Arabidopsis thaliana: one gene and its partner. The protein of the gene in region 2 interacts with the protein of the main gene of each other region in a pairwise test. Each region holds a gene or a part of one and is shown on either strand. Other genes may lie near its edges.

What was found. Proteins that work in one complex are often made in the same cells at the same time.
Region 1: the proteins of AT5G62610 (region 2) and HEC3 interact in binary tests that used the Arabidopsis thaliana proteins (3 or more experiments, as listed by UniProt).

The regions. Positions count from the first base shown.
Region 1 is NC_003076.8:3,021,607-3,032,358, forward strand, and holds HEC3 (basic helix-loop-helix (bHLH) DNA-binding superfamily protein), read right to left. Parts: upstream 5,509-10,752; 5' UTR 5,470-5,508; coding exon 4,795-5,469; 3' UTR 4,503-4,794; downstream 1-4,502. Other genes in the region: HAM2 (histone acetyltransferase of the MYST family 2), read right to left, coding at 535-738, 840-982, 1,069-1,162, 1,243-1,404, 1,574-1,642, 1,909-2,118, 2,203-2,262, 2,365-2,453 and 1 more. UniProt on the Arabidopsis thaliana protein: Required for the female reproductive tract development and fertility.
Region 2 is NC_003076.8:25,130,285-25,141,130, reverse strand, and holds AT5G62610 (basic helix-loop-helix (bHLH) DNA-binding superfamily protein), read left to right. Parts: upstream 1-5,065; 5' UTR 5,066-5,132; intron 5,133-6,224; exon of another isoform or gene 6,225-6,250; 5' UTR 6,251-6,530; coding exon 6,531-6,830; intron 6,831-7,145; coding exon 7,146-7,352; intron 7,353-7,434; coding exon 7,435-7,500; intron 7,501-7,581; coding exon 7,582-7,650; intron 7,651-7,721; coding exon 7,722-7,799; intron 7,800-7,888; coding exon 7,889-8,014; 3' UTR 8,015-8,283; downstream 8,284-10,846. Other genes in the region: AT5G62623 (Putative membrane lipoprotein), read right to left, coding at 1-77, 347-404; AT5G62620 (Galactosyltransferase family protein), read right to left, coding at 1,367-1,579, 1,672-1,779, 1,876-2,049, 2,143-2,271, 2,379-2,669, 2,772-3,016, 3,110-3,995; MOS14 (ARM repeat superfamily protein), read left to right, coding at 8,658-8,780, 9,351-9,428, 9,520-9,582, 9,809-9,856, 9,944-10,090, 10,570-10,701.

The DNA.
Region 1 (10,752 bases), about 22 Mb from region 2:
ATATCTTGGCCAAATTTCGCAGACAATGTTGCGTTAGATTCAGAGATTCCAACTTTTACGGTTTCTAAGTTGTGAAACATTTGTTTACGCACATTTGAATATTTGATTCAATAACTTGCAACTATTTCATTTTTGTCCAACCTTGTTTTTATGTTTGCTATACTATATCGTTTACTAGTTGAAAAATATGTTTGATATATTTGTCAACAATGTATCTTGTGATTATGAACATAACATTTTCACACAAAACCGCAACAGAAAATGCAAATATATGCATTTGAAACAACTAAGGCTTATATATATATATATATATATATACTAAATACAAATGATCACATACATACTAGCAAAAGAAAGATGGACCTATGAAATTGCTTCAAATTTCCTCATTATAAGAGTTGTAAACAAACACCATTCCAAGTACGATTTCAACATTTACAAGTAAAGTACACTTACATTTCAGGAGAATAAGACAGCCCGCTTTACTTACACACTCAAATCAAATCCAATGGCACAAGAGGAGTGTACTTACTCTTAACTCTGGTCCTTGTAAGGTGTCCAAATCAGTTTGCTAGCATCTACATCAAGACCACCTCGGCCTGCAGCTTTCAGATGTCGGTCCAGAACCTTTGGATCCGCACAGATCACATGCTGTCCTTTCCTGTACTGTATCAGTTCTAGGCTCTGAAGTGTGCTTAATATATCTTCCGCTTTGATTGCTGTCACGTCGCTCAGCTCCTACATCATCATACATGAAACAGAGACAGATGAGTGGATTCTTAGATCGCAGAAACCAGGATTAGCCTAAGACTTTTTATCAGTTTGAAACACAATCTAACCTTGATAGAAATGTTTCCCTTATGTTTTTTCAAGATTTCTAATAGAACACGAGTCCAATAACCTCTGTAGCTTAGTAAGCCTAGATCCGACAAGGGTCTTTCCGGTGTCCCAACTTTTCCCTCTTTCTTTGACAGTTCATAGGCTGCAACTCAGAAGAACAATCTGTTACTTATTTTTGTGGACATGGGATTGAGAAGAGCAAAAGGGTCAAATGGGCAAAGAACTTACAAAAGGCTATTAAGAACTTTCCATAGCCTTTTCTTTGATATGAAGGCAGGGTTAGAATGCAAGCTAAGTTGTATGCTTCTTCCGAATGCTTCTCCTGGACCCAGTAGAAGTTACGTTTATGAGCAAACAGGAAAATGGAAACCAAACATATATGTAACTACTTTGCTATATTACCTTTGAAAAGTACCCAACCATGTGGCATCCTCGGTCATCACATTCGCAAAGAACGTAGAATAGAAACAAATCAACATCGTAGTAAAGAGTTTTGTGGTCAAGAAATAACTTTGCCAGGTAGCAGAGATTCTGTGCATAAACCTTGTTCTTTTTGCCATCTACCTGTAAGATGAGAGTACGGTTAGAGAAAAACGTTCCTGCTAATGTAGAACATAACCAGATGAGAGATAAACTAATCAGCATCCATATACGAAAAAAAAAAACATAAGAGAAAGCTAACGATACATCATATCCAGAGCAAGAAGACCAGAGACCTATCTCAGGATATTACCTCAAACATTGACAAGGTACCACTTCGGTAAATTTCATCACCAGGTGGGTGCTTCAGGTCACACTTCCTCTGCAGGAAAAAAGTAAGGAAATTATACAAAAGCTACAAGATAAAATAAAACCATATAAATGCAACTTTAATGAACCGTGAATGTGGATATGCAAGTCAGTGACAATATTCAACAGAATCTGAAAGGTTGGGTACTATCTTCAGCAATGAAACTGGAATGCAAAAACATAGAATACAGATGTGAAACCAGACTATTGAAGCTCGCAATGGAAATGTAATTAAAAAGCATCATAAGACTTCAAAGATAAAGAAAAACAGTTGCTCACCATATGCCTTTGAAGCTGCTCTTTGCGTTTCATGAAGTTCAGGCAAAACTCACAAAAAAAGAGCTTCACACAGTCATTGTATTCTGGCGGAAAAGGGGAGAAGTACCAAGTCTCAATCTCATATTTTCCAAGCTCAATTGTTGATATGTTCTTCACTTTCGTGAACTCTTCATGTTCACGCAAACTTGCTGCATCCAGCTCTTCATGACCCTATAAAAACATTTCGAAACACAGAATACTGAATCAACACAAACCTTACGTTTCCAGGACCCGCCTTATATTGGCATTCATTACCTCTATATGTGTCTCATCGATCTTCCTCTTCTGGTGACGTGTCATCTTCAAGCTTGTTACCTAGAAACCACAGACATAAATCTCTGCTCATTGCTAAACGTATATGAGAAAACTCATGAAATCCACATTATGCAACTAACAATACAAAACTAGAGAACGCACCTTGTCTTCCACTTTTTCATCTACAGCGCACTCTACTGAATCAAGGTCCAGTTGGTCCAGCTGAGTCCATTCATCCAGCCTCCTATTAACTGCAGTTTCGAAAACAAATTACCAAAATCAAACACATTGATGATCATAAGATTTCAAAATCACCAACTTTGTCATCATATTACTCAGCTTAATCACAATAGTATAAATGGTTCAAAATCTTTAGAAGCAAAGTATAATGCAGAATTTGATCTCCTTCTCAAAAATCTCACACAACTTGAAGCCAATTCCAATGATCCAATTGATAAAGTCTTGCAATTTAACTCTTTTTTCTTCCTACATTATAAACCCTTGACTAAATTTCCACCTTTGTGAAGCTCAACAGTACGAATCAACCAAAATTGAAAACCCTACATCAAAACTTGATAAGGAATTAAACGACATACACTCAGTGTAATGAACGTAATACTCGTAATCATTTTGACCGCCGTTATGTATCCGCCGGCGCTCAATTACTTTCACCGGATGGTGTTTCCCGTCTCTCCACCGACACATCACACGAGTACCCACTTCTAGAGGAAGCATCCCCATTTTCCTCTTCTTCGACGGATCCGACTCTATAATAGCTTGATCAGGAGTTAAAGGAGGAGGAGGAGGATGAGACCCATCAACGCCGTTCGTAGCCGGAGGCTTTTGATTCGACGACGGTGGCGGTGCGTTGCCGTTGGTTTCTGTATTCGCTGACGATCCCATTTCTCGGTCGGGTCGGAGATTCCCGGGTGGGCTTTCTTTCTCATACGAGTAAGAGAACTAGAGAGAGAAAAACGGACACTTGAAATAAATCAGGCCCATTAGTAACTTTTCACATAATTGGGCCTATATTTATGGGCCGTTAAAAATATTGATATTTAATGGTGTGAAGTACATACATTTTCACCGGGATCACAGTTTATTCATAAAATTAGAAAGTTGTTTGATCATGTAAGAATTATCTCGAATCACATTGAAATATTTCTGTAGTAAAACGAATTAGATTTGAAAATATATGAATCATACCCATGGCTATTTAGTGACTATTAATGCATTGTTTGAGCTAAATAATTTGGTTAGACGTTAAGTTCTTGCAATTATCTCTAGGATGTGAATGAATGTATAACTATGTGGCAAAAAGAAAGAAAATATATTAAATGATTTCGTTAGCAAAATGGATATAGCTAGGTTTCCATGAATCTCACTGACATTTCATTGTGTCTTTATTAAAACCTATGAATGTGAGGAGACACAAAAGTCAGCGGAAGTATCCATGAGTGAAGTGAACAAGGAGCATAGGTTTCCTTGAATTAACCTCTCTGCTACTTTTCTGAGATTTTCTGACCAACAAGTGTGGAGCAAAGCTCTGGTGGTTTAATGCTTGTTTGTAGTCAAAGGTTTTCTTTTTATTATTGGGAAGGTAAAAAGAGATCTTGCAACTGTTTTAGTTGAACTTCTATTCATTAATTCGAAGACAAAACGAGCAAGTACATTTTCTCTGCACCATCCTCTTTATAATATGTCTCGATATATACTCTCTTTCTGGAGTAGAGTATCTGTATACCTTATCGGTTTGTTGTAATTTGAGATTACTTTATATTACAAAACATCATTTTATGGGATGATTGTCGTAATTTTCATTATGCTAAACGTTACTATAGCTAAACATTTTTCGTTAACATTTTTACAACAAGTATAATCGGATACGTTTAGTCTGTTAGACTTTTTAGTTTTCAGGTGATGTTTAATCGGATACTAACAAGTATAATCTAATAGACTAAACGTACGGATATTATTTTCATAACAACTTTTTTCTTTTTGGATTTTTCGTTGCTAGTTGTGAAGCTATATATTAAAAAAAAAGCCCTAAAGCTTATTGTAATTTAGGAATTCTTAAAGCTTATTCTAATCATAACAAAACGATTTTCAATATGTATAGGTATTAACGTTCAAAGTGAGGTATGTACGTAAAAAGATGAAAATGAAGCAATAGAGTACATTCATATTATATGCTCTAAAATATAGTACTTCACAAATATATGCGTTGTGTGTATACAAAGACAAAAGTCCACAGTAATGATAACACTATTTAAATAGGGTTCTTTGATGGCGTCATGGTTCTTATGCCCGAAAAATGCCCGGCCAAAACTTGTATACAACCAAACTCCAAATCAAGAACTTATTATTATATACGAAATGATAACATAATATTAAATATATGGTGGTACACAACTCAAGCTAACCGTTATGATTATTCCACAACCTTTTCACGGTCAACAACAATATATTATATATCCTAACAAACCCTTATTTCGTATCCATTTTTATTATATATAAACACTTTCCATAATTGCACCATTACTCACACATTATAGCATAATTTAGTTACTACTAATGGAAATGTCATCTTGTCTAGATTAATTCTCCTACTCCTCTTCCCCCACGGCCGAAACTTGGCGGTGGTGGCGGTGAAACCCATGACGTCGTCACCGCCTGAGAAGCTTGATCTTGCGGCGGCGGAGGAGTATATCCGGTATTATTATTGAGTAGCCGGATCTGCCGTTTCAAGAACTTGACATAGCGTATAGCTTCATCGAGCATTGAAGCCGTATCCATTTTAGTGCCACCTGGCACGAGTCTCTGAAGAATTCTGATCCTCTCACTGATTCTCTCACGGCGATGTCTAGCCGCCACACTCTGAGGGTCGTCGGAGATCCTCACGTTACGGCGTTTGGGTTTCTTGACGGTTGCTGGGTCGATGTCAACCGATTGCATGGCTGCGATCTTGTACATCATTTCCTTCATAGCACCGAGTTCCTCTAGAGGTTCTTCTTCGTCTTCGTCGTCTTCTTGATCTCCGGAGAGAAGAGTGGTGGTTGTGAGGGAAGAAGAGAGAGGAGGGAAATGAGAAGAAGAGAAAGGATTGAAGATATGGAGCTGTGTGTACTGGTCCATGGCCATACCGATTGGATCATTATTATGTTGATGATGATGATCATCATTCTTGTTGTTGTTGTTGCTGCTGTTGATGATGTTGTTCCAAGTGTAATTTTGGAAGAGAGATGGGTTCATATTATAATTATTCATAATTTTTGTTTGTTTGGTTCGTAAAAATTTTAATGCTTGAGGCGATGCTTATATGTATATATATATGTGTGTGTGTGAGCATATATATATATTAAAGGAAAAAAAGAAAGGTGATCATATGATGAGGGGTTAGGTTGGTGATGCAATTAAGGATTTTGGTTCGGAGAAAAAATAAAGAATAATTTTATTTATATGTATCTTTTCAATAAGTGGACGTCACTAGTCGTTACCAAAGAAAAAGATTAAATTGTATATAGTTGAATAAGAAGTTTTTTTATGCTCCGAAAATGTTTATAAACGTTGTAGCACTTTTGTATACATATAGTTGGCATAATCGCTTTTTTTTTTTTTTTTTTAATGAGCAGCTCCAGTTGACTAATGAGATAGTTTTGAGTTGGCTAGGGTTTCCCTCTCCCACATTGAGACTTGAATTTAGGGTATATCGAGAAAGTGGCTTTCACCAAAGTAATAAACTAATAACCACTAGCTATAAGAATGTGAATTACTTTATATGAACATGAGTTTCTCTTTGATTCACAAAAGATGTCACCACTTGTGTGCTCTTATTCTGACTTCTCAATTTACAATCCCTTTAATTATCTCCTTCTCTCTTCACAAAACCCATTCACTAAAATAGGAAATCTTGATAAATTTTCTCTCATTCTCTTGTCTCTTCACGAAATAGCACATTTTGTTGATCCTATACTCTTATCCCGATCAACGGTCGTGATTTTCTCTCTCCCCTCGATGGAGTCCAATATTGAATGTAAATTGTGTGTGAAACTCGCAATGTTATATATTATTATAAAACAAATGATCAACTTGCTTTTTTCCACAAAGCTATTCTATAACTTGCGACGTGATTAAAGGTTTATAAGGATAACAAACATCAAATCACTCGCATGGGGACACCTTAGCTTCTTCAACATTTGGGTGTTATCCATGATTGTCATTAATAAGAAAGACGTGTATCATCGTCGTGACTCGTTTATATAAGACGGTGGTGAATATATCATTTTCCATGAAGCAATTTCTGCTTTTTATTAACAAAGTTCACATCTACGTAACAACGTTCTTGTATACAAGTGTATAAAACAAACACAAATCCGTAAAATACACGAAATTTTATGAGACTTCAAAAGAGGCAAATTTATATACGTTGTTTCGATCCGTTTATACAAAAATCAGACGGTTCTGATTTAATGTGACAAGTTTCTTATGTCATATGCCTCAACACAAAAGCAATGTATAAATACACATGTATATGTACATATATGAGATATAAGCGTATATTTTGCACATATGTTATGATTTGGTCTGCATTATAATCATACAAATTGCGCATGCAGGCTGCAATCATGCATTATAGGGTTACTTCTTTGGTATTAATCCATTGTTCACTGTATATTATATTCTTATTAAATCCACCCAACTGCCAACTACATGTATGAACATCTACTTATACACACACAAGTTTTGGAAATTAATTTGATTCGATATAAGTATACACTATATAGTTTTCGCATTTATAGCGGTTTAAAATGAAAACCGCAATTAAAAGAGTAACTGTGTATTTAATATAATAGCTAGCATTCGATCATATTATTAAAGTATATAACAGTCATGAGCAAGACTTATAATATAATATAGTTTAGTTAAAAGAAGTTTTATTTTGCCATGTATTTTATATAATACAAATTCGGATGGATTGGAGCAATGAACAATTTTTTTATTGCCTGATCATAAATTTAGAGTGTTTTTTAATTAAGTCTATTAATATTTTTCATACATGTGAAAGTTAAATGATTCATTTTGGACAGCTAGTTTCTAAATTTCCACAAAAACATGTAAAATAATAGAATATATAAGACACATAAATTTAATTTACTTCTTAAATCTATGATTTCATTTAGAATACATATAGTATTTTATTATTACTTTTTCCTTTTTGGTTGTATGTACATTTCTGCAACTGTGATGTGAAATATCATAATGGTTTATAAAGCTTGTATAATATGTTTCGAAATGTATACCGAGTTGTAATAAACAAAAATTGAATGCAATTGATTTACTAAATCATGTTTTCTTTTAAGCAAATTATCACTAGCTTATCTATTATGATATGGTTTAAACATGTGACAGCTCAAGCGGCCCCCATTTCGTCTGTGTATAAAGTGTAACCGTAAACCCTAACTAGATGAATCTAGTGTAAATGTATATAGTACATATACACGTGAGTGGGTGAAATAACTATGCAACATTTTCCGATGAAGATTGAATCATAAAATCTGACAATCTCCATTATTTTCATCCAAATTATCGCGTACATAAAAAAGCATTAAATAACTATATATATATATAGGCCATACATATATAACTATTTTTTTCAGCAATTGTGCTTCTTCCTCCTTTTTATTAATAGCGATACAATCTTCCGTCTTTGTGCGTTACGATTCCCAAAGAACCACACCCTCATTTCCTCAGAGTCTGGTCTCTTACAGCGACTTCTCTTTTTCTTTCTTTTTTGGATTTCCTCTTTCTGCTTCCACCATGGAGAAGAACAAACAAAGAAAAACTCAGTGTTGTTTCTTTCCAAATTTGAACACTTTGTAATCTAGTGATATCACTTTATCTTACTCCAATTTCACCGGTTAGGTTTGGTCATTAAAAATGATCAAACCAAAAAAGAAAATGTATAAGTAATCACCAGTTCACCACTTGGCTTAATTCATCCAAAAATAAAATTTCAAATTGGCTATATATCAAGTTAAGAAAAATAAAGCTAGACGAAAAAGGTAGGATATATATGCGTTATTGTATTGATTTCTATAACTACGAGGGTAGATTATGTGTTATAATATTAGTAATGATGCTAAGTTTTTTAAAATGGAGTAGCAAAAAAAAAAAACATGTTTATTTTTTCTCTTTCGCGAGAGGATCTAAAAAGTCTACAAAAAAGTGATTACAAGGCATGGGAAGCTGCAGTGAAGAAAAGTGAAGAAGTCTCTTGTTTGGTCCGAAAGTGTTAGTGTTATGGAAAACTCTTTAATGAGTTTTTCACTTTATTTTTCTTTCTCTTTTGTTTTTGAGGGGAAGAATATTACACATATGAAATTGACTTCGAGGGTTTTCATTTTCTTGGATTATTGCAGGTACAAACGTATTTCCAGTATCCATGCATAGACGCATAATGCCGTATTGTAGCTACATACACGAGAAGTAGACAGTAGACTCATTTAACAAAAAACCAAATAGACTCAATCAATTATATGTTTTGATGAATATTTTAACATTCAACGATTAATATATCCACTAATGAACATTCTTTTTTTTCCAACATCCACTGATCAACATTTTGTTCGACGATAAGCATTTTTCTATAAAAAGGAATTCCTTAGCTCAGGTTTATGAGCATGCAGGGTAATTGAATCATCGTGAGTGGGGACAGTGAAAGAACAGTTTTTTTTTTTTTTCAAGTAAAGAACAATTTAGCCAATTTCAGATGATTTTTTTTACTAGATTAAATTAATTTAACACATTTTACTTAGAGGCATGTGATCCCACTCGTCTTAAATTACAGTACAAGTCCTAGTAAAACCGAACATTTTTGAAATCCAAAGAGTATAAGAATTGGGACAGAATAAAACATATATATAACCAAAAACCTGTAATTAGTTGGAACATCAGTCATGTTCCCTGCTAGGATTGGGTAAATTTTGTCTGTAATTAGTAAAAATAAATCTCCGTTGCCGGGACTCGAACCCGGGTCTCTCGGGTGAGAGCCGAGTATCCTGACCAGCTAGACTACAACGGATTTGTAATAAATAATATTAATTAGTCAATATGTTAGTAACACCAAATTTTTTGAAAAAAAAAAGAAAGAAAAGAAAACATTAAACAAGAGAAGATATAACATCCAAATCGTAAAGGAAAACAACATTCTTCTCAAAATCGGTTGTCTAAACTTGGGGATTTGGACTAATTCATACCTGGCCCCGAGCCCCCGACTTACCTGAGGATGGTAATTGTGGGTTTGGAACCTTAAAGCCCTAAGTTATTTTATTGGGTCATTGGCAAAGGTGCAGAATCCATCTTAGTGGGCTTATACGAGCCAAAAATATGGGCCGCTACAAACATCTGGTTATGTTATTTTAGACCAAAAATATATACATATACCAAACATGTTGGATATAAAAACTTATGAGATAAATGATTTCAGAGATTTTAGTATGTAATTGCCTATTTGGTATTCATTATGAAATCAAAAAAATTAGGTTATTTTTGTTGAAACTAGTTTATTTCTAACATCCTTCAGATTTCTTTCTAGTTTAACGTTTGATAATTTACGTTGAGATTTAAATGTAATTATCAAATTAACTAAAGATATAACCTCCAATCAAGTTAGATTTTAAAATTTACAAGTTTAGTATATTATAAACAAAAATTCAAAATTTTAACTACATTTATATGTATAAAATCTGTAATTGCAGAATAGACATAAGAGTCTTGAAACTGGTGATATAGTGTTTGCTAATACCAAACCTAACCAAATCAACATATATTCTAATCTCCAGATTAGTGTTTGGAGCCGATTGCTTACTAAAATTAGACTATTAATCGTATACTCCCTTTGTTCCATGAAATTTGATGTTTTAGATTTTATTTTTGTTTCATAAAGATTGATGTTGTAGGTTAATAATATTATTATTTTTGTTAATAACCAATAGAGAGAGGAGAGAAATAAGACTTATATTATTAAATTAACAGAAAATAATATAAATAATATAAAAATTACTTTTCTTTGTGTGAAAAACCCAAAACATCACTCTTTTAGGAACAGAGGGAGTATAAAATAAGAATCCAAAAACAAAATAAACAATAATTCGATATTAGGAAAAATGAAAAAAAAAGAAAAACTAAGAAAACAACAATTACCAACCGCAAGTCAAGAATCAAGATCAATAGCGTGAGACGGACCTAAACACATTAAACCAATACATAACCGGGGTCTTAACCGGACAATCTATTATAATCTCCTTATCTTCCCTAATAGAACCGTAATTACGAAAAAGGACAGTCACAAAACTCCAATCTCTCTCTCTCCTCTCCGTCTCTGCGCGCATGATCCCCCCCATAGTGTTCCACTACGCACCGCCCGTGACTCTCTAATGGTCTGTGACTTGTAATCCATCTCTCCTTATTTTTATTTCAATTTTATTTCTTTCCAAAATTTTAATTAATTTCCACACACACACACACCTATACATATATATACACACACAT
Region 2 (10,846 bases):
CCATGTATGCGGTGTTTCATCTCTCACTTGTCCACTAACTTTTGATTCTCCTTCCAATGCTTTAGCTACCCATAAACCTAGCATGTACATATAAGAATAGTTGAAAAATAACCAATTTGATGCACTAATTTAAATTAGTGTCGATAGATTAAACGACTAAAATCCAAAAGAGATTCTTGTAGAATCAACTCAAAATGTAGATTATAAAAACAAAAGAAAAACAGTCAACTAGTATTTCTACCACGCAATTCAACTAAACCAGAATCAAGTTTGAGCATCAATTATGTTTTGAAAACTAAAGAACATAATAAAAGATTATGTATTTAAATTAAAATGATGGACTCACATGAAAGAGACAACAAAATGGCAAGAAGAACCACTTTCCTCAACACCATTTTCTCCATTTTGATGATACCGGTTCCAAATTTCTTTTACAGTTATTGAATCCAATTATGCAAAAATAAACACACCCAAACATACTTACATATATATATATATATATATCATTTTATATATGTGTATTTTGTTGCCAAGAATAGGAAACTATGTAAGATGAGGTTATTTTTTGCCAAAAACAAATATTTCAGACAAATATTATGATAAAAAATCAAACAAAAATAATTGTAGTAGATAACTATGAAAATAGCATAATTAAAATAAAAATGACTTCTCACAAAGTATTTTGGAATATTTTACTCCTTATTTAACTGTTATGAGACATGTTTGATTATTTTCTTCTATATGGACTTCTAATTTATAAAAAAAAATGCATTAAAAAAGGTTGTAAGTGAAAAGTTTTAAATTAGTCTTGGCAATTTTGGGTCAAGTCGAGAACACAATGTATGTGTTATTATATCTCTACCAATTCGCTGGTAGTGGAATTCACACTACCCACAAAAATGCCATACATCTATAGTCTGATCATTTATAGACCTTCTTAAAATTGGGCTTATATATATGGTGAAAAAGGTGCCGCAATATTAAACCGGTTCTAAAAATTTTATTAATTTTAAAAGATATGAGTGTTTTAATTATTGTTAAACATTTTTACACATTATTCTTATGATTCATTTTAACAAGAAATATTAATTCTTATTGAAGCTACGGCTTAGGAAGACCAAAACTCGTCGTTGGACAAAACTACGGTTTAGCAAAGGCTTTCATGGGCACATAATAAGTTTAAAGGAAAGAATGAATATTAATAGAGAATTCGACCAAAAGAAAACATCCATTTTAGATTCGTTACTAAAGATCAAAGATGATATAATACAACCGAAACTATATGCTATAAACTACTACCCAAAAAAAAAGAACTCTTCGGACTTCTATTTCCTTTTATAAACCAAAGAAAAGGATTTGGTATGTGTCATCTCATGTTGCAGCACTGAGGTTTGCCTGTCAACACCAGCTTATCCCACAAGCAAATCATCTGTCTCGGCGACTGATAATGCGCCGTCAAGTAATTCTCTATGCAACCAAACTGACAAAACCTGAGGCTGTGAATGTAGTCCACCGGTTTTGTACCATTGTTGAATTGTTCTACCCACATTCCCACGCTTACATCTTCCATTTTGAACATCTGTAGTATCAAGAATGAGAAAGAAAGGAAAAGGGTTATATAGATATGCATGGTCGGTTTTAAATTGAGTAGGTAATGGGAAATTCTCATACCCTTAATTTGTGTTTCTCAAACTCTTTCACGATAAAGCGAGATATATCGTTTGATAATATGTATCCGGGGCCATTAGCATAAGGTGGATAGTCTTCCTCTGGCCATTCCTGGCAAAGCAGATAATGTAACATTAACTTTTGAATTCATATGAGAAAAGAACAGATACAAATGATTCTTTAGGCAAAAAGATCATAGCTTTTTACCTCATATGTAACAGACCATTTACCCTGGCGAAGTGGTTTGTGATAATAATTGATGTTGCCAATGTATAGACTTCTATCTGTGGGTGTTTTCTTTGCTTCACTAAGAACCGCATCCACTTGTACAAATGTATCGTCATCACACTTCATGATGAATTTAGCTGCAAGTTGATGAGCCTGCAAAACAGAGAATAGAGAAACTCTTTACCTTATATTGAATAATTGAAAACACAACATCAAGTGTTGAATCTTTGAATCAGCGGGACTCACCCCGTACTCGCAAATTGCAACGGTTTTGAGGACGACAAGGTCATAACTGTCCATGTAAGGGACTATAACTATGTCCCCAAAGAATTCAGCTTCCTTCTTTAGCTCCACATTTACTTCTTTCCTTGAGTGCTGCCCAAATAAACATCTGAGTTTAGCTTGCAATTCGATATGAGAAGCTCTTACATTTTAACCTAGAAGACCAAGATCAGATCACTTGTAAATTAGTCTAAACTTACCAGTGCAACAAAGAACCGAGCCACTACTTTGGAAGATTTAACGAGTTTATGTTGCATCCACGACCTCCTCACAGCCATCCTCTCAGCAAAATGGTTACCAGCAGAAAGGATACCAATGAACATATCAACTTGCTCATCAGGAAGTGATGGGGCTTGCCAATTGCTCGAGAGCTCAAGATGCCTCTGAGGAGAAAAACTAGGATGCGAGGTTGGGAGAGAGCCAGCGAAAACAGAGTGAACATCTATGTCCCCGTTAATGGTTAGACCAGTAGCATCCTCAAGCGTAAATCCCTTCATATATTGCCAAGAAACCACGCACATAGACAACCATCAGTTCACACCAATCACTAATCAAACCACAACATGTTTAAGCCAGGGCAAAACATCACTTACAGTTCGGTATGGAAAGGAAGTGACATGCTTCCCATCGACACTAACATGGTAGCCTTCCAATCCAGCACTAAGAGTAAGCACGAAAAGCTTGTCAACTGTGAATGGAAATGGCCATTCAACAGTTACTTTCTTGCTCCGACCTATTAATCGACTAAGCCACCATGAAGCCGCCTTGCTAGACTCTTCTTCTTTAGATGTAATGCTATCATCCCGAGCCCATTTCTCGCACTTAACCTGACCATCAACTACAACCATTCTTACTAATTAGTATCCCCAACAAAAACACCAAGAAAAACAACAGATGAAAGATAAATGCTTTTGAACATATCTACACTAACCAGTCTCTTCATCATCCCTAGATCTCCATCCTTCACATCTTTGTGCTGAGCCCCATTGCATTCTATAGCAAGTGTTCTGCTCAATCACAGGCTTACCACTCCAATCACCCTTAAGCCTTGGATTCAAGTGGAGTATCCGAGGTGGCTCTTCTCCTTCCACTGCTTTCAAACCCTGAAGCTCCAACTTAAACTGTGAAACCTTCACAGCTTCATCTCCTTCCTTTAACATCGATATCTTAGGGTCCTTCTCCGAATGAGCAGCTCGTGGCTTCCCAACCACTGTAATATGTGACCCAAGAGTTAAACCACATGGAAGCTCCATGATATTCCCACGTTTCAAAAGATCAGACCCGGTTAAGGAAACAGAGAGAGAACACGAGTTTGTCCCATGTTCCTCAATCTTCTTCTTCTTCTCCTTCTCCAAAGCTTTCAACGTTTTCCCAGACTCAAGCTCTTCCCATATCTTTCGACCAACTTCCCAAGCTACCTTAGCAGATTTATGAAGCTCCACAGACCCATCTTTGCTACTCGGGTTAAACGTTTCCGGGTCGAATCTCAAACTAGAAAGGATCCGAGTCCTTCTTCTTAAACCCTGAGCCGGTGATTCCGATTGTGATTCCTGGTAAAGCAGACTCTTTAAAGGTCGAGTCGGAGCTCGTCTCTCTTGTAACTCTCTCTGACTATTGTGCTTCTCGGGTCGGGTTAACGGATCCTGAGATAAAGAACTAAGCCCGGTTTTGAAGACGAAAGGGATTTCGAATGTGATAAGAAGCATGTAGAGTAACCCAACCGCCATTAGTATCTGAACCGATCTCTGCTTGCTTAGAGAAACGAAAATGTCGAATTTCTCTAACCTCTCGAGTTTTGACAACTTGGGCTTCCTCATTCCTAAATTATACGAAGAAAAATCCAAACTTTTTTTTAACTGGAAACAGAAAACCCTAGTGATGATGATCAAAGAGGAACAGAATCTCAAAATTCAAAATTTCAAAAAACAAATAAAAATCAAATCTTGAGAGATTACGATGAACGGAGACAATCAGTAGATTGGTGGGTTACTATAAATTCTGAAAAACCCTTTGAACACGAAGAGAGAAAATTCAAGAACTTTCTATGGAAAAGACAAATCTTTAGTGAGAAAATTCAAAACCCGAAAGAAACGTAAAGTCGAAAATTTAAATCTTTAGAGAGACGTGTAAAATCGTAAGATGAACAGAAACGCGTCAGGAGAATTTGGAGAAGGAAGCAGCAAGGGGAAGAGTTAAAGCTCTCTCCTCTTTCTTAGTTAGTGCTGCTGACGTCTGAATAAACCGCCGTTTTGGTCCATCTCTCTCTCTCTCTTTTTCGAATCTTTTCTTCGCTTTTAAATCTTCTCTTTTTCCTTATTTTATTTAGTTTTCGATTAAAGTTATAGATTCGTTGGATTTATCTTTTCAAATTAAAGTAATTTTATTATTCTAGATGATTATTTCCACCACCAGTAGAATAAAAAGGAAAAACGTTATGTTTTTGTCGAATTTTAATCTTATAATTGAAGTAATAAGATTTTTAAGGTTAAGCAAATCGACCAAAAAAACAAATCGAAAAGGTTGTCTTGATTACACGAGACAGAATGTGAAATTATTAGTTAATTAGTACTATATGATTTATAAATTAAAAAAAAACAATAATAGTAGATGGAATCATATGTATTTGATTGTTTAGTAGATATGATTCTTATTTTGAAATTTAAACTATTATTGATTAATGTCTACTTAGTCGGTGCTAAATCGGCCAACTGTGTCATTCCATCACCAATGAAGTCACATAGTACTCCTATGCTCATGTTTTTATTTTTGACTTTTCTCTCTATTAATTTTCTTAATTTCATGACCAAACTGAAATGAACAGAAGAAATTGATAACAAAAAAATAGTGTTTCTTGTTTTTTTATTAGAGGTATCTTGATGAGTAGAGCAAAAAAGCTTTATGGGAAAAATGGAAAGAGAGGAATTGGGCTTCATGTGTGACACCTTTGCATCCAGGTGTCTTCTCTTTCTACACTTGTCTTTTCCACCTTTTCATTATTTCATCAAAATATAAACATATTCCACTTAATTCGATAATAAAATTAATAATTAAAAAAGTTTTGCAGAAAAACATCAATTTCTAATTTGTTGGTCTTTAAACAATTTTCTTGCTACACATTTAGAGCATTCAATGCTATAGAATTGACTTTTAAAAGTTTTAACTCAGTGAATAGTTTTAGAGCTTTTTTGTTTGTTATATACTGTATTCTTAAAAACGTTTGATATCTCTGTATTCATCATTCAAAAATACAAACTTTTATAATAAACACAACAAATGAAGGTTGAAATCATCGAAACGAAAAATGACACTCTTGGCTCCTTGTATTTTTCCGCAACTACCTTGAACATGTCATCTACCAAAAAGGCTAAAACTACATTGAACATAATAAAACTATAGCTTCTGAATTTTTAAAAATTTAACGTGAAGAACGTTGACATGCAAACAAAAAGACTAAAACACATGTCATCTATCCTTCATATTAGCGTTTTATATATTTAGCTAGAATTTTGGCTTTTGTGATTAAGCATTTAAAATTTAAATATATGGCCCATTGTCACATCCTCGATCGTATCCTACGTACCGGTGTGTGGTTCCCTTCACTTTACACAACTAACTTTCATAAAACATATGACTATGAAGTGGGAGATCTATGTTAAATAAAAAAACACTAATTGGTGAATATTATTGTAAACATAGGCGATCGAGTACTTACTAGGATGGACATATGGTACGAAGATCAAATTTTTAATCCAAACATATACGTTTTTTCCTTAAACACGTCAGAATGAAATTACCAAAGTAACATGATTTGGTTTTGCTAGTATGTATTTTTTTCTAAGAGAGATGCATTGTCCTTTGGTGTATTTAAGTTGTTCACAGTAAAATTACCAAAGTTGTTCACAGTAAAAAATAATTTAATCAAAGGATAACTAAAAGACATAATTGTGAGATTTTTATTTTTTATTTTTGATAGAAATTATTTAGGTTATTGCGCCATAATATATCTTTTCTATTCAATTTTGTTTCTAAACGAAACGAAAATTTTACCATTGTAATATTTTTTTTATAACAGAAACGGCAAAATATTTGATGTAAGCTGTGTAATTAATGAGATTTTCTGAAAGTATTGGTGATAAATCATCTTCCATTGCATACTAGTGGCGCATTATCACTACCCACATCTGTCTTACCTTCTCCGATCTCTCTCTCTATTTGTCCACCTCACACACAACCCTATAAACAAGACAAGACCTCGCAAAGCTCAAACCTTTTCCTTCTTTTTTTCTATCAAGTTCCTCACTTCTCGGATCCGGGTCCTAAATCTGGGTCAACCCTTTTTACGATCATCGGAAATGGACCCTCCACTAGTGAACGATTCCTCCTTCTCTGCAGCTAATCCTTCTTCTTACACTCTCTCCGAGATTTGGCCTTTCCCTGTAAACGACGCCGTTCGCTCTGGTCTCCGTTTAGCTGTTAACTCCGGTCGAGTCTTTACTCGCTCTGAACATTCCGGCAATAAAGACGTCTCCGCGGCTGAGGAATCTACAGTCACCGATCTAACTGCTGGCTGGGGAAGTAGAAAGACTAGAGATTTGAACTCTGAGGATGATTCTTCAAAGATGGTTTCTTCCAGCAGCAGTGGTAATGAATTGGTGAGATTTTGCACTTCAATTTTTGAAAAGTCCTGATTTTTATTTGTTGGGTCTTTTGAATGTTTGAATCTAGATCCTTTAGCTTGGTGGTGATCTAAAAATCAATGAGTCAAAGTTTAAGTCTTTGGTTTAGGGATCAAGGATTAGTTTATAGATTAGATGACTTATCTCCATTGACTTTTTGACTTAAGTTGGATTCAGCTTGAAGACCATTAGTTTGATAGATGTTGGAATGGTCAATGCTTACTTAGTGATCTTAGATTGAGAGTTTGATTTAGGATCTTAAAGCTTTCCATCTGTTTACTTTTTTAATAGAAAGAATCAGGGGATAAGAAAAGAAAACTGTGTGGATCTGAAAGTGGAAATGGAGATGGTTCGATGAGACCTGAAGGCGAAACAAGTTCGGGTGGTGGTGGAAGCAAAGCAACGGAACAGAAGAACAAACCTGAGCCACCAAAGGATTATATTCATGTGAGAGCAAGAAGAGGACAAGCTACTGACCGGCATAGTTTAGCAGAGCGAGTAATTCTTCTGCTAAAATCACCATAAATTTTATCCTCAAAAACTGTTCCTTTTATTAGAATCACAATGTTGTCTTTGACAGGCTAGAAGAGAAAAGATCAGTGAGAAGATGACAGCTCTTCAAGATATAATTCCAGGATGTAATAAGGTACATGTTCTTTTGGTCCCTGCTTGTGAATGATGTTATTATAGCCTAAAAAACATTCAACAAGATATTTCTGTTGATCAGATAATCGGAAAAGCCCTTGTGCTCGATGAGATTATCAATTATATTCAGTCATTGCAGCGGCAAGTTGAGGTAAAAGTCGTTAACACCTCTCTGTTATATGTTACAATTATACATGCCTAAGCATGGAGTTTGGTCTGCAGTTTCTATCAATGAAGCTAGAAGTTGTTAACTCGGGTGCAAGTACTGGTCCGACAATAGGAGTTTTTCCTTCCGGTGATGTAAGTCCCAAATCTAAAAGAACATAGAAAAATCTTATCTTTCTTAATCAAAGCTACTAAATCTAAAAGCTCTTGGTGTGTTGTATCAGCTCGGGACTTTACCGATTGACGTTCATCGAACAATATACGAGCAACAAGAAGCTAATGAAACCCGAGTATCTCAACCGGAGTGGCTCCATATGCAGGTTGATGGGAACTTTAACCGAACCACATAAAAAAGAGTCTTTCTCTGATTGATGGATGTGTTTTGTAGGCAGTAAAAATGAATGCAACCCTTTATTTTTTATCCTATGCGTGTGTATCATTTTGCTGTTATATCATAAGATAGAATATGAGAGTGACCAGAGAGATTAACACTTTATAAAACATTGTTGTATTGTCCTATTATATAACTTGTAACAATTGATTCAGTAACATATGTTGGTCTTAAATCTTGTCCTTTGTATAATCTTTATGTTATGATGAATCAATGATACGTTTTTTTTGTTGTCTTCAATTTATTGCAACAACTGAAAAAAAGTAAACAACTTCTGTCTTCAAAATAAAAGAAGAAGGATTTGACTTTAAGTCAAAGTAATTGTATCTAACGGCTGAGATTCTCTCTTCTTCATCCTCTTTCAGATCAAAATTCGATCTCTATCTCTCTTCCTCACTCAAGTTGAGGGGCGCCAAAAAAAAACCTTTTTGACAAAGAGGGAAAAAAAAAGTTTTTATTTTTATTGTTTTTGTTGGGCGAAATCGATTTGACAAAATCCCGAATTTCAGTTGGGCAAATTCTTCTATTTCTCAATCTGGGTCTTTCTCTCTGGTCGTGATTTGGTGACCGTACGAGCGAATAACGCGTAAAGATTCATAGCTATGGAGCATCAGAACGCGGTCAAAGAAGCCCTAAACGCACTGTATCATCACCCGGATGATACAGTGCGTGTGCACGCTGATCGCTGGCTTCAGAACTTCCAAGGAACTCTCGATGCTTGGCAGGCGAGTTTTTTCTTTTCGATTTCAATTATTTAATCTCGATTTGTTTAGGTTCGATTTGTTCTTCCTTGTTTTGTAGCACTTGTGCTAGAGTTTAATGTTCGATTTTCAGCTACTGTAGACCATATAGGTGCATAAAGTTTCATCCTTTAGTCAATTTGTATTAGTGATTTGCTCTTTAAGGTCATATAGGCTTATGCATAGCAGAAATCTCAAAATTTCAGTACGTCTAAGTTCATTTCTGAGTTACTTTAGACTATATAAGTGCATAAATTTTCATCCTTTAGTCAATTTGTATTAGCGATTCGCTTGTTAAGGTCATATAGGCTTATGCATAGCAGAAATCTCGAATTTTCAGTACATCTAAGTTCAATTGTGCACTTTTTCCTGTAGCTGGTTTGAGAAGTATGTGTAAGGTGTGTGAATAGATTTACCTTGTTAGAGAAACGATTAGCTAGGTTTTATATGAGCTCTTTTCTTTTAGACCCATGATTGTTGTTGCGGAGAAGAGGATTTTTTTTGATGGAGAAGTTCTACAATATTTCTTACTCTGTGCTGTTGTATGTTTTCTAGGTTGCGGATAATTTACTTCATGATTCTTCTAGCAATTTGGAAACTTTGATATTCTGTTCTCAGACCCTTCGAAGCAAGGTAAATGCACCTGAATGTTTCTGTAAATCCTTATTCATTTATCACACAATCTTGGAGCATTCTGGTGACATCTAGTCTGTCTCACTCGAAGGTTCAACGAGATTTTGAAGAACTACCACCTGGGGCTTTTCAGAAGCTACGGCAATCATTAACGGTAATTCTTTGTTCTATTAACTATTTCTTCCAAAGTTGTAGGGTTTCATGAGTTATTCATTAGTATGTCTGTTCCTTTGAGCAATAACATAATAGGAAAACTCAGTTGAACTAGAGTATTCTGGGATCTAGGTTTTACTATGATTTCATCTTTCTGGCCTATTATTCTTGGTATTGGACAATTACTTCCCGGAAAATTTTGACTTTCATTATTTTCTCAAATGCAGACATTGTTAAAAAAGTTCCACAAGGGCCCTCCAAAAGTTAGGACCCAGGTAAGTGCATATGTGGAATTTTCTGTTGTGCGTATAAAGTCATGTACTTTGTGTCGAGTTATCTTATTTAAGTATTTTATATTGTAGATTAGCATTGCTGTTGCTGCCTTGGCGGTGCATGTTCCTGCGGCAGACTGGGGAGATGGTGGTATAATTAGCTGGCTTAGGGATGAGATGCATATGCATCCTGAATATGTGCCTGGTTTCTTGGAACTCTTGACAGTTTTGCCCGAGGTAGAGTATTTTTTATTCCTTTGTTTAAGTGTTCATCTCACTCAGTAATTAATTTGACTTCATGTATCCGGCTATATAGATATGAAAGGCCTTATTTTGGTCTGACTTGGATCTTCTTACTTATTATTTATGCTGGTATTACTGACCTCAAATTGGGTAGACCTATTTGGAGAATATTCTGTTCCTTTTTTACTTTTTCCATATCTATGTTTAGGTAGCATTCGACGTTACTCTGTGAGTGTTATTTCAATCCCTAAAGTATTGGCTGGGCAAGACCTTGATATTTTGTATGGTATTGTTTGCAAAAAATGTTGGTAGTTTATTTGTAACTAAATGAAGATTCTAATTTTTTCACAAATCTCTACCACATCGTTTGACCTTTCCCTTTCATTAACTTGATTCACTTTAGGAATGTTTAGCTTTAATCTAGATGGTTATATGATGTCTTGATCTTATATTGTCCTTCTTGCTATGACCAGGAAACATTTAACTACAAAATAGCTGCTCGTCCGGATCGACGACGTCAATTCGAAAAAGAGCTTACTTCTCAAATGGAAGCTGCACTTAGTATCTTATCAGCATGTTTGAAAATATCCGAACTTAAGGAACAGGTCAGAGCTTATCTTTAATATAGAGTCGTGACATAGTTCAGTACATAGTTTGTTATTCACTTTCCATGATCCCTCTGTATAACACATCAAAATAACCTTCTTCTTTTTATGTTTTCTGATGCATGTCTGTTTTTTTACTTTCCAC